3 linked regions of the Lonchura striata genome follow. The protein of the gene in region 1 purifies or fractionates together with the protein of each later gene. This does not show direct contact. Links are inferred from orthologs where the notes say so. Each region holds a gene or a part of one and is shown on either strand. Other genes may lie near its edges. The genes, in order: KMT2C, NCOA6 and PAXIP1.

The links.
Region 2: the proteins of KMT2C (region 1) and NCOA6 purify together in Homo sapiens (co-immunoprecipitation; 7 studies listed by BioGRID and IntAct, with this or other methods). This does not show direct contact. The link is inferred for Lonchura striata from reciprocal best matches to the Homo sapiens genes KMT2C and NCOA6.
Region 3: the proteins of KMT2C (region 1) and PAXIP1 purify together in Homo sapiens (affinity purification with mass spectrometry; 4 studies listed by BioGRID and IntAct, with this or other methods). This does not show direct contact. The link is inferred for Lonchura striata from reciprocal best matches to the Homo sapiens genes KMT2C and PAXIP1.

What each region holds. Positions count from the first base shown.
Region 1 is NC_134603.1:150,420,657-150,424,397, reverse strand, and holds the start of KMT2C (histone-lysine N-methyltransferase 2C), read right to left. Parts: upstream 2,657-3,741; 5' UTR 2,353-2,656; exon of another isoform or gene 2,242-2,352; 5' UTR 2,241-2,241; coding exon 2,065-2,240; intron 1,740-2,064; exon of another isoform or gene 1,575-1,739; intron 1-1,574. UniProt on the Homo sapiens protein: Histone methyltransferase that catalyzes methyl group transfer from S-adenosyl-L-methionine to the epsilon-amino group of 'Lys-4' of histone H3 (H3K4).
Region 2 is NC_134619.1:14,165,074-14,168,814, reverse strand, and holds the start of NCOA6 (nuclear receptor coactivator 6), read right to left. Parts: upstream 2,546-3,741; 5' UTR 2,474-2,545; intron 1-2,473. UniProt on the Homo sapiens protein: Nuclear receptor coactivator that directly binds nuclear receptors and stimulates the transcriptional activities in a hormone-dependent fashion. Coactivates expression in an agonist- and AF2-dependent manner.
Region 3 is NC_134603.1:149,369,907-149,373,647, forward strand, and holds the start of PAXIP1 (PAX-interacting protein 1), read left to right. Parts: upstream 1-910; 5' UTR 911-1,136; coding exon 1,137-1,226; intron 1,227-3,741.

The sequences.
Region 1 (3,741 bases):
CAGCAGGACAGAGAGCACCATGTCAGTCAGGAACAATCAGTGTGAACAAAAAGAGTATTGATTCATTTTAATTTTTGTCTCAGCTAATTTAATTTCCCACTTTTACATAAATCCTTATAATCATGTCAGAATAAGTTCATATTTTACAGGAATATTTTATTTCTCCCAAAACCTAGGCAACAACATTCCCATGACACCAAAAACCTATCTGAAGGCAAGGAATTACCTCTTTAACACATACATTTTTTCCTCAAGAGTGCATATACAACCTCAAACTGGCCTAACAAGATATGCCAATTTTCACACATAACACTATTTAGGGGTTTTTTTGTGTAGACTGGTACATTTCAGTTGCATTTGGATTTTTCTTCAGAAAAATTTCCTTCAAAATAAAACATTCAAAGGTTTCCTATGTAAGGTTTGGATTCTGTAAGTAAAAATAAAACCAAAGTATGTAAAACTAAGCATAAAGGAGATGAACGCAAGAACTTCACCACGTGTACATATGCCAACTACTTTCAACGACAGCTGTATTAAAAATTCTATCAGGAAAATACATAAGATAATGAAAAGAGGGAGCTGGAAACAACACACCTTCCCCAAAACCAGAGGTGACATGAAAATCTTTGCAGGTAAACTTTCATCAATGGAAATAACAAGAACAAAAAATCATGTATCCCAAACTAATGATAGTTCTGTCCTGGGATACTTATATATTTGTAAAAACGAACTCATATAAAAGATGCACGGTCCTTGCATGTGTTTAGGTCCAGCCCAGCAGAATCCCTTGTCATATTGTGGACTTCCACTGTGACCTTATGGTCGGGCTTGACCTTAAAGGTCTTTTCCAACCGAAATGATTCTGGCACGGAAATGAACAATGATGTTTGGGATGGGCCAGGATGTTTAAGGAAGAGCCAGGGCAAACACGGCACTGTCAAAGCGAGCGCGTCCCCCAAAACAAAGGGAAGGAACAGCCTCTGAACCCCGAGGCTCGGACGGACCGCACAGCGCAGGAGCCGCTCTGGTCACCTCCTGCCGCTCCTCGGCCAAACGTGGAGCTTTGCCCTATTACCGCTGCCATCAGCTATGCCATGGCAAGCTCCATCCCACTCTAAAATAACCCGCGGGGAGCGGAGCCAGCGCGGCAGCGGCGCTCCCCGGGCAGCGGCCGCCGGGGCCTCTCCCGGGCACCGCGGCCACCCCCGCTCCGTCCGCGGGCAGCGCGGCGCGGCGCGATCCCCGCCCGGGGCTGCGGGATCCCCGCCCGAGGCTGCGGGATCCCCGCCCGGGGCTGCGGGAGCGGGCCGGCCCCCGGGGAGCGCCCGGCGGGGCGGGGGAGGCGCCGGGGCGGGCGAGCGCCCGCGCCCCCGGCGGGGAGAGGCCGCGGCGGAGGGAGAGCTGCCGGCGGCCGGGAGCCGGCTCCCCCGCCATGCTCCGCGGGTTTGCGGTGCTCCGGCACCGTCCCGCCGGCGCGTCCCTCCGTGCGGCGGCCGCTGACAGCTCCCCGCGCCGCCGAGAAACTCCTGCCTCAACTCCGCGGGGGCGCGGGGGTGTCCTGCCCGCCACCCGCCCAGAACCGTGTTTTCCTTCCCAAAAAAGAGGAGGAGAAGGGGAGGGGGGGGGGCATAACAAGGGAAAGCGACGAGGAACTACCGTCAGCGCACAGGGACTACCCAGGCGACGCTGAAGGCAGCCGAGCGTCCTGGAAGGGAACGGACCCAAAAAGAAGGGGGAAGGTGCAAAGGCAAGGGGAAAAGGAGGAAGAGGGTGGAGGGGGAAGAGCTAAAGAGAAACTCCGAAGAAGGAGGAGAAGAAAGGAATAGGGATGGTGAAAGAAAAGTGGAAAAGGGTGAGCGGGCGGAGGAAGACAAAGGTGAAAAACGAGGAGGAGGAGGAGGGGAAAGTGCAAAGGGGAGAGGAGGAGAAGAAAGAAGGGCCCTTCTCAAAATGGCATTAGGCAGAGGGAGGGGGCGAGTAGCGAGTCTCCACTGACAGCTCTGCCTGCGCCTGGCCGCCTGCCCCGGCCCCTCTCTGCCTCGCACACACAAACGCTGAACTTACTTCTTTCTGGCTCTCTGGAAAGGGGAAGCGCCATCTTTGCGAGGCCGGCCCCTAGGTCTTTTGTCTGTGGCTGCTGCTGCTGCTGCTGGGGGGGGAGCTCCAGGCTCGGGGGGCTGCTGCTGCTGCTGAGGCGGCTCCACCACCGCCACCACCAGACTCTTGTCCTCCGTTGACATCCTAGTCAGCAGGACGAGAGAGACACATGGATGATGATGATGAGGATGAAGATGAGGATGGTGATGGGGATCCCGATGCTCCTCCTGCTCCCGCGGCTCCTCTCCTCCTCACCTCCGCCTCCTCCACCTCCGCCTCGCATCGCTGGCCTCAGCCGCCGCCGACCAGCACAGGTAGCAGGGGGAGCAGCATGGGGAGAGCAGGAGGAGGAGGGAAAGGGGGGGGCGAAGAGAAAGCGCAGAGGACGGAAGGAAGGGTCTCACACACAATAACACCCTCCCCGGGCTCGGCGGGGTCTGTCGGGGCTGGGGGAGGTGAAGAGAGCGAGCGGCAGAGACGCGGCTGGTCCCGCCGCTGGGCGCCCCCGCTCAGAGGCCCCGGGCGCTGGCGGCGGCTCCGGCTGCTGCGCTGCCCGGCTGCGGCGGCCGCCGCTTCATTGTACCCTGGCCCTGCGCCCTCCCCCCGCGCAGAGCCCCCGGGGGCGGAGGAGGAGCGGGCGGCGGCGGCGGAGGCGGCGGGGGCCGAGGCCGAGCGGAGGAAGTTTTGACAGCTCCAGCTGTTGTGTGTGTCGAGGGGCTGAGTCCGGCCGGGCTCCGCGTCCCCTTCCCAGCCGGGCCGGGAGCAGGAAGTTTAACTTTGGGGAAAGAAGGAGGAGGAAGGGTGAAAAAGGGGGAGGAGGAAGGAGGAGGAGGCGGCGCCCTGCCCCCTCCCCGCGGGGTGGAGAAGGGATCCCGGCGCTGCCCTGGTGTGTAACCCCCGCCTCCCCGGCTCCCTTCCCCCCCGCCAGTGCGACACACAGACACAGCGACCGACCGCCCTGCTCCTCCTCCCCTGCCGCGGCCCCACACTGCGCCTGCCCCGCCCGCCCGCCGCCCGTCCCCCGGCGCAGACACCCATCCGCCGCCCGCCGACCTCACGGGCTGGGCTGGGGCCGCGCCGGGCTGCGGGGAAACCGCGGAGCGGGGCGCGGACGGGACGCGGCGCCGCGGGGAGCTCCGCGCACCCCACCCCGCACCGCTGCCCCAGCCGCTCCCCCGCCCCTGTTATTTCTTTTTATTAATTTCGCCGTGGAAAAGGAAAAGCCCCTTCTGCATGCGAGCGGCCGCACACGGGCTGCCCTCCGCGGGACGCGGCTCCGGGGGCAGCGCTCGCCCCGCGCAGCCCCCGGGCAGGCGGCTGGAGCCCGGCGGGGAGCGCTCCCCCTTCCCCCGCCGCGCGTCTGCGGCTCGGGGCGGTGCAGGCGGGGGGAGCCGCGGGCGCCCCGGGGGATGGGAAGGAGGGAGGGAGCAGAGTTCAGCGCTGTGTGCGAGGGAGACAAAGTCTGGGGAGCGTGGCCGCTTTCCAGCAGCTCCGGCTGGAACAGCTGCGGGCGCTGGGGGCGGGGGGGCTCCCCGGGCTGGGGCCCGGCTGGCTGGCTGCCTGCCCGCCCGCCCGGCTGCGGGGCGGGGTTAAGCCTCATTACACGGGATTTAACGTGTCCCGGAGGCCAGCGGGGACTCGGGC
Region 2 (3,741 bases), on another chromosome or scaffold:
AACTCCAGCAGCATTACTCTAATTAGCATGGGCACAAGACAATCTAAGTTATCTTCATCCTCTTGAGCTAAACCTCCAGCTCTCCATGCAGGAACACGCTGACTCCGTGGCTGAAATGCTCAGTTATCTGCAATTAATGGGTGGCTCCTCCTGAAGAACATCAGAGACCTGCTCCTGAGGGGACAACAGAGTCTGCAACAGTGTCAAGACAAAGCACAAAATATCCACGGCTCTGCTAAAGCAAAGGTGACTTGCTTGTCTGGCTGGTGGAAATGGAGAGACTCACCCAGAGATGGAAAACCTCATCTTCCCTGCTGCCTCAACTTGGTATCACCTGGGGTTATTTCTCCTTCCACTGCTGGTCCTCACCTATTCCCAGCCCTACACATTCTTTCTCATTCCTTCTGGTCCAGCTGGTGCATTAAGGAAAAAGCTGAGGCTTGAATACAGTTTTTGCAGCACTGAGGGTGAAGTCCTGCTGCTCAGTGCTCTACAACCAGCAGGCCTCCTGTTCCCTCACACTGTCCCTGCACCACAGCTTTGCATTTCTCAACAGAGACCACAGGACTTTGAAAGACACCCTCATCATGCCTTCTGCCCTTCAGAGGTTCGCTAGCAACCTATAAAATTTCGCCATTCTCAATGCAAACTGTTACAGTCACATTAACTCTTCAATCCCTTCAGCAGCAAATCCTTTGCCACTGCAAATCTAGTAAATTTAGTGAGTGTCTAATTGGGTGGTAACTCCAGCTTCCATCCGAAAGCAATTGCTCTTGTACTAAGAAAATAAAAATATACTGCCACTTTAAGGTTTAGTTATCACACTGAAACATTTAACATCTCCCATAAAAGCAGGAACCTTTGTTGTGCTCAGGCAGCACAAAGAGTGGCATTACAGCTGCTCAGCACAATTTACCTCCACAACCTGTATTGTCAAATATTTAAGCCACTGAAAAATGGAAACACCAACACTTCCAGATGCACAAGGACTTGGAATTCTTATGTCAGAGAAGCATCTACTTTTTTACTAGAAAAATGTTAAATTACTCCATCACCTGGAAGCCTGTTGTAAACAACCAAGTCCTACAAGTCCTCCAAGTCCTACTACAGAAGGACAGGCCTTCCAGAGAAAATGGCTGGAGAGCGCTGCTGAGAGATTTTCAGCCCAAATCCAATGCCTAACAGAAGACCCTTCCTTGGGTTTCAAATACTAAGAAATGTAATTTCTCAACTGAAGATGAGGTATGCGTGCAGCCAGCCCCTCACGTTCGGATCTTTCCTCTCCCAGGAGAGTCCGGACACAGTGTTACTATAAAACATTTCCTCTTGGAGCCAGGTAAGTTTCAGAGGAAGCCACAGGGCTCAGTGGATACTTAGAATCTCTGGCAAACACCTCGCCAGGCCCAGACCTGGCCCTTCTGAACACACGCTTCAAAACCTTTGTTTCTCGCTCCACAAGATACCTAGAAAAGCTGGGACCATCTGCTACAACTTGAAAAGAGCTGCCAAATCCAAATCTTGTGGTCATTACACTTGGTAACCTTTATGGAAGGTGCCAGATTTGTTCTTTGTGTTTGTTTCCACACACAGGAAATACTGAAAGGCGCCTTAGCTAAAAATCCAGCCAGAACAACACACAATAATTACAAGACCACCAAGAGGCACGTTCTTCTAAGAGAGGTTTTACTACAATAAAACCTCGTATAAAGGTTTCCCTACAGTTCCCAGTGAGGGGAATGATCAAACATGTGTCTATAAGGAGGCTGAGGGGTTATGGAGAGACAAAGCTCATGAAGCTCCAACCTGTTGCCAGGATGCAGAGCCACAGAAGAGCTCTGTCCTTCCATTCCCCAAAGCAGCGGGAAGGAAGCAGAGCTCTGAGCTTCCTGAGATGGTTTTAAAGTAGCTGGCATTTAGAGAAACGCAGAAATCACACGGCGAGGAGGAGTGGAGAGCCTTTTTCCGACTGGTTTAAGACTCACCGAGGACGCGAACAAAAGCGAAACGTCAACGCGCCCCGGCTGACACGGCACAAAGCCGTCACCGCCCGCATGAGGTCAGGGCAGAGGGACCGGCTCGCGCAGCGGCCGGCCCGCGGGCAGCGCCCGCGCCGGACAGCGCCGCCGGCCCGGCCGCGGTCCCTCCCGGGCCGGCGGGGCCGGGCCGAGCCGCGGCCCGGGAGCGCGGCCGGGCCGAGCGCGGCCGGGCAGGGGCGGCTCCGCGCCGGGGCCGCGGGCGGCTCGGCCGCGCGCTGACAGGCTCCGGCCGGGCGCCGCGGCTCCGCCGGCACCGCCGAGACGCCGCCGGCGGCCCGGGCCACCGGCTCGGCTCCGCTCCGCGCCCCGCCGGGCCCCGCCGCCCCTTCCCCCGCGCCGCGGGCTCGGCCTGCGCCCCGCCCGGGCCGGCCCCGGCCCCGGCCCCGGCCCCGCCGCGGCCGCGTGCCGACCCCCGCCCCGCCCCGCCCTCCCCTCACCTGGACCCGCCGCCGCCGCCGCCGGGGGCGCGCGCGGAGCCGCGGGGGCGCGCGGGGCGGGGGTCGCGCGCGGCCCGGGACTCCAGCGCCGCTCCGCCGCCTGCGCCGCGCACGTGACCCGCGCGCGCCTGCGCCCGAGCGCGCGGGGCGGGGGGGGCACCGCGACCCCCGGGGAGAGCGCGGGACACAGCGGGGACACCGGGACCGGGACACAGCGGGGACACCGGGACACAGCGGGGACACCGGCACCGGGACACAGCGGGGACACCGGGACCGGGACACAGCGGGGACACCGGGACACAGCGGGGACACCGGGACTGAGACCGGGACACAGCGGGGACACCGGGACACAGCGGGGACACCGGGACCGGGACACAGCGGGGACACCGGGACCGGGACCGGGACCGGGACCGGGACACAGCGGGGACACCGGGACCGGGACACAGCGGGGACACCGGGACACAGCGGGGACACCGGCACCGGGACACAGCGGGGACACCGGGACCGGGACACAGCGGGGACACCGGGACACAGCGGGGACACCGGGACTGAGACCGGGACACAGCGGGGACACCGGGACACAGCGGGGACACCGGGACCGGGACACAGCGGGGACACCGGGACCGGGACCGGGACCGGGACCGGGACACAGCGGGGACACCGGGACCGGGACACAGCGGGGACACCGGGACACAGCGGGGACACCGGGACTGAGACCGGGACACAGCGGGGACACCGGGACACAGCGGGGACACCGGGACCGGGACACAGCGGGGACACCGGGACCGGGACCGGGACCGGGACCGGGACACAGCGGGGACACGGGCACCGGGACACAGCGGGGACACCGGGACCGGGACACAGCGGGGACACCGGGACACAGCGGGGACACCGGGACCGGGACACAGCGGGGACACCGGGACCGGGACCGGGACACAGCGGGGACACCGGGACCGGGACACAGCGGGGACACCGGGACCGGGACACAGCGGGGACACCGGGACACAGCGGGGACACCGGGACCGGGACCGGGACCGGGACACAGCGGGGACACCGGGACACAGCGGGGACACCGGGACCGGGACCGGGACCGGGACCTGGACACAGCGGGGACACGGGCACCGGGACACAGCGGGGACACGGGCACCGGGACACAGCGGGGACACCGGGACACAGCGGGGACACGGGCACCGGGACCGGGACACAGCGGGGACACCGGGACCGGGACACAGCGGGGACACCGGGACCGGGACCGGGACACAGCAGGG
Region 3 (3,741 bases), about 1.1 Mb from region 1:
TATGTTTCTACCATGGTTTCAAGAATCACATAGGTAAGAAAAATAGTTTCCTCCTGGGGAAGTGGGACAGGCCTTGCAGGCAGGAGGGTAACAGTATTTTTATTTTTACAGGTGCCCTGTATTTTTATTTCACTAAGTCTTTCAATGCCATCTCTTAACATTGCTCTGAGTGTGGGAGGGAGTCATTGTCCACTTCAAAGTATTACGAGGATGTTCAAAACTCTTTTGGAAAGCTGAGTGCTTATTATATAGATAAAATGATATATTATCTAATATTTGTATTTTAAACATCCTTGTCAATGCAGCACTGTTTAAAATATATGACATGAAGCAGGCTCTGAAAGTGCTCGTTTCTTTCTGTTGACTCCAACCTATAGAAAGTAATAATAATTGTTTTCTGTTACCTAAAATAGGTAAGACACATCCCCCTCTAGGTGGGAACGCTTCACTATCAACGTAGATGGATGCTTTGCAGTTTCTGAGGGAAAATACTTTATTTCGGTGGGGCTCGATGACCTTAGAGGCCTTTTCGCACCGTAGCTCTGATTTCGGGAGCAGTCGGTAGGTTCACACATGAGCTGGCCGGTGGAACAGACCCACGCATTGGCGGGCGCTGGCTGCGAGGGGCCGCGCCGCCATCGCCCGCGTCCCCTCACGGCGGGGCCGAGGGCGGGGCCTGGGCGCCCCGGGGCGGGGCCAGGGGTGGTTGCCTTCCCTCCCCCGCCAATGGGCGGGGCCGGGTATCCCCGCTGCCCGCCTCTGTCGTTCGGGGCGAGTCCATTGCATCCCGCGCGGGGGGAGCTGCGGACCCGGATGCTGCCTGCCGGTCCGGTTCGGGGAAAGAGGGAGGAGCAGGGATAGCGCCTGTGGATCAGAGGCGGGCGCGGCCCTGCAGCAGCCGTGGTGGCTGATCGGGCGGGGGGAGCCGCTTTGCGGGGGCGGCTCTCCCCTCCCCCTTCCACCCCCCCTACGTCCCGGTGGGGGATGGTGTGTCCCGCAGCGCGCGCCTTGCTCGCGCGGTTCGGCGGCTCTGCGGGGGGAGGGGGACGGGAGAGACCCGGGCCCCGGCGGGTTTCGCACGGTGAGCGCGGGGAATAGCGGGCAGGGGGGAGCGCCCGCTGCTGCCGTCCGGGACCATGTTGGCGGACGACGAGGAGGAGCTGAAAGTCCCGGAGGAGATGTTCAAAGACGTCAAGTTCTTCGTGGTGGGAGACATCGACCCCAAGGTACCGGGTCATCCCTTCTTATCATTCCCGCCTTCCCTTTCGTCTCCCCCCCATCCCGACGTGGGGGGGGGCACAGTGGAACCGTCCGGCTACCGCGCGCGGGCTCGAGGCTCGCGCCGCCTCACGGGGAAAGGGCGGGAGCGGGGGGAGCGCGCGCCTGAGGGACCGGGCGGGATGGCTGAGGGGGGGAGGGGAGGCGGCCGGTCCAGATCCCGGCCCCGATCCCGGCCCCGATCCCGGCTGTGCCCGCGGGAAGCGCCGCTGCCGCCGCCATGGGAGCGGCGGCCCCGCCGCGCAGGCCCCGCCGGAGCCGCCTGAGCGGAGGAGGAGCGGGCGGAGGGACTTCCTGTGCTGAGCCGGGCCGGGCCGGGCGGGCAGCGGGGGCAGCGGCCGGCGCTCCTCCGATTCGGGCGCTCCGCAGGCCCGGCCCCTCCCTGTGCCCGGTTCCGTACGGGTACGCAGGGACGGGCCGTGGGGAAGGCTGGTCACGGCGGGCCGGGCTGGCTCTGCCCTCCCACACAGACCTTCCCGCCTTGGCGCGGCCCCGAGCCCGGACCCGCTACCGCCCCGGGGCCGCCGCTGCGGGGCTGCTGTGGGTTAGGCCGGGGGCCGCCCGCCCCTCTCGCCCTGGGCAATGCAGGTGGCCTGGCCGTGAGTAACACCCGTGGTGGGCGAAGGTGGTTGAAACAAAGTTTTGTGGCTTGTCCAATTAGATGCTTGAAATGCAACCTGCGGAGGTTTAGGACAGCGGCTTCCTGCAAGCAGGTTACTGCCTGCTTCACGCTGAAGTTAAAGTTCTTTGCCTCTCTGGTAGTTGCTGTAGTAAAGTCTTAGTTCAGTGTTGGTTTCCTTTATCATCCTGTCCTGACGCTCACTAGCTGTGTCCTGGAGGCACAGTCACTGGCCTGTTCAGATGGATTTCATTCCTATTGTGCTAAAATAAATACAGTCTAGGAAGAATGCAGTTGACAGGATGAAAACTTCTTTAGACAGGTTTCTAGATATAAAACTTAGTTCTTTAGGCATTAGGTCTTTAGAGATAAATTTTTTGATAGTGGGTTAGCACTCAACAGATTCCTGTACTTACCAAAAAACCCTACAGCAGCAGTTAGTATTATGTGTATGAGGGTGAGTGCAAAAATCCTGTAGCACTGTTGTACATAATTTGTCATTGGAGTAGTGTCTTGAAAAGCCTGTTTTAGTCATGTGTTGACATGGGAGGACAATTAGCAGATTTTCCATAGAGCAAATAGACAAGCATTCTCTTAAATTGGTTTTCTTTCTCATGCTAAATTTTATTGTTCTTTGCAGTCAGAGTCATTGTCATAGAGCTTTGATATGCTCCAAATTTGGTGCATTGAATGTTCCTCTGCCTGGCTTGGAGGCTGAGCCCGGTCAGAGTGAGGAGCTGGGCTGGGCTGAGCTCGGGGCCAGCTCCTGGGAGAACCCTCTGTACCGGCTTCAGCCCAGCTGGCAGCTAAGCACAGCACAGCTGCTCTCTCACCCCCACCCCTGAGCAGTGTAATGGGGAGGACATTCAAAAATTAAACTTACAGGTTGAGATATAAAAGCAGCTTAATAATTGAAAACCAGGTAATGGTAAATAATTGAATACAATGGTAATGGTAAATAATAATGCTAAGAAAAAGGGAAATAAAGGAAACCTTAAGCAAGTGAGGCACAATACAGTTGCTCACCGTGCACTGACTGATGCCAGACATCATTCCTGACCCCAGATCAGCCCTTCTTATGGGTAACTCCCCCAGTTTATATAGTGGGCATGACTTGCTTTGGTGTGGTTGGCCAGTTTGGGTCACCTGTCCAGGCTGTACTCCCTCCCAGCCTATTTTATAACTCCTTACTGGCAGAGGAAATCACAAAAAAAGTAGTCCTTAGGATAAACACAACTTAGGAAAAACCAAAACATCAGTGTGTTACCAACATTATTTCCATTCTGAATCCAAAACACAGAACCATGGCAGCTACAGAGAATAAATTAACTTTATCCTTGCTGAGACCAGGACACCCTCCTGTGGGTGTCCTCTGTGGTACCCTGGGACACCTGAGTACGAGGAGCGTTTATCAGGTGTGTTTTGAGCCAAGACAGAATACAGAAATTGTAAACCAAACTCAATCAGTTCTTAGAGTGAAATTTGTCCCATGACAAATAAAAAAGTTACAAATATCTTTGGCACTTTTTACTGCTTCACATACAGGTGGATGCCAGCTTGATTTTGCAGAGAATTTCCTCCTTCATCTTCTGGGAAGGAGCACACTTTGATCAACTTAAATTTCTAAATAGTTTCACAGAAAACCAGTTACTGTAATAAATATTAAAACACCTAGCACAAGTGAGCATGCTAATCAAAACAGATTCAAGAGTAAGAAGAAAAAAAGTAATTTTTTTTCAGGTGAATAACTGCATACCTACATTAAAGCATGTGCAGCATAAATTGGAAGGGAAGCAAAAGTCTGGAGTTGTGCCGAGGTGTTCTCTGGCACATGGAGGAGTTAG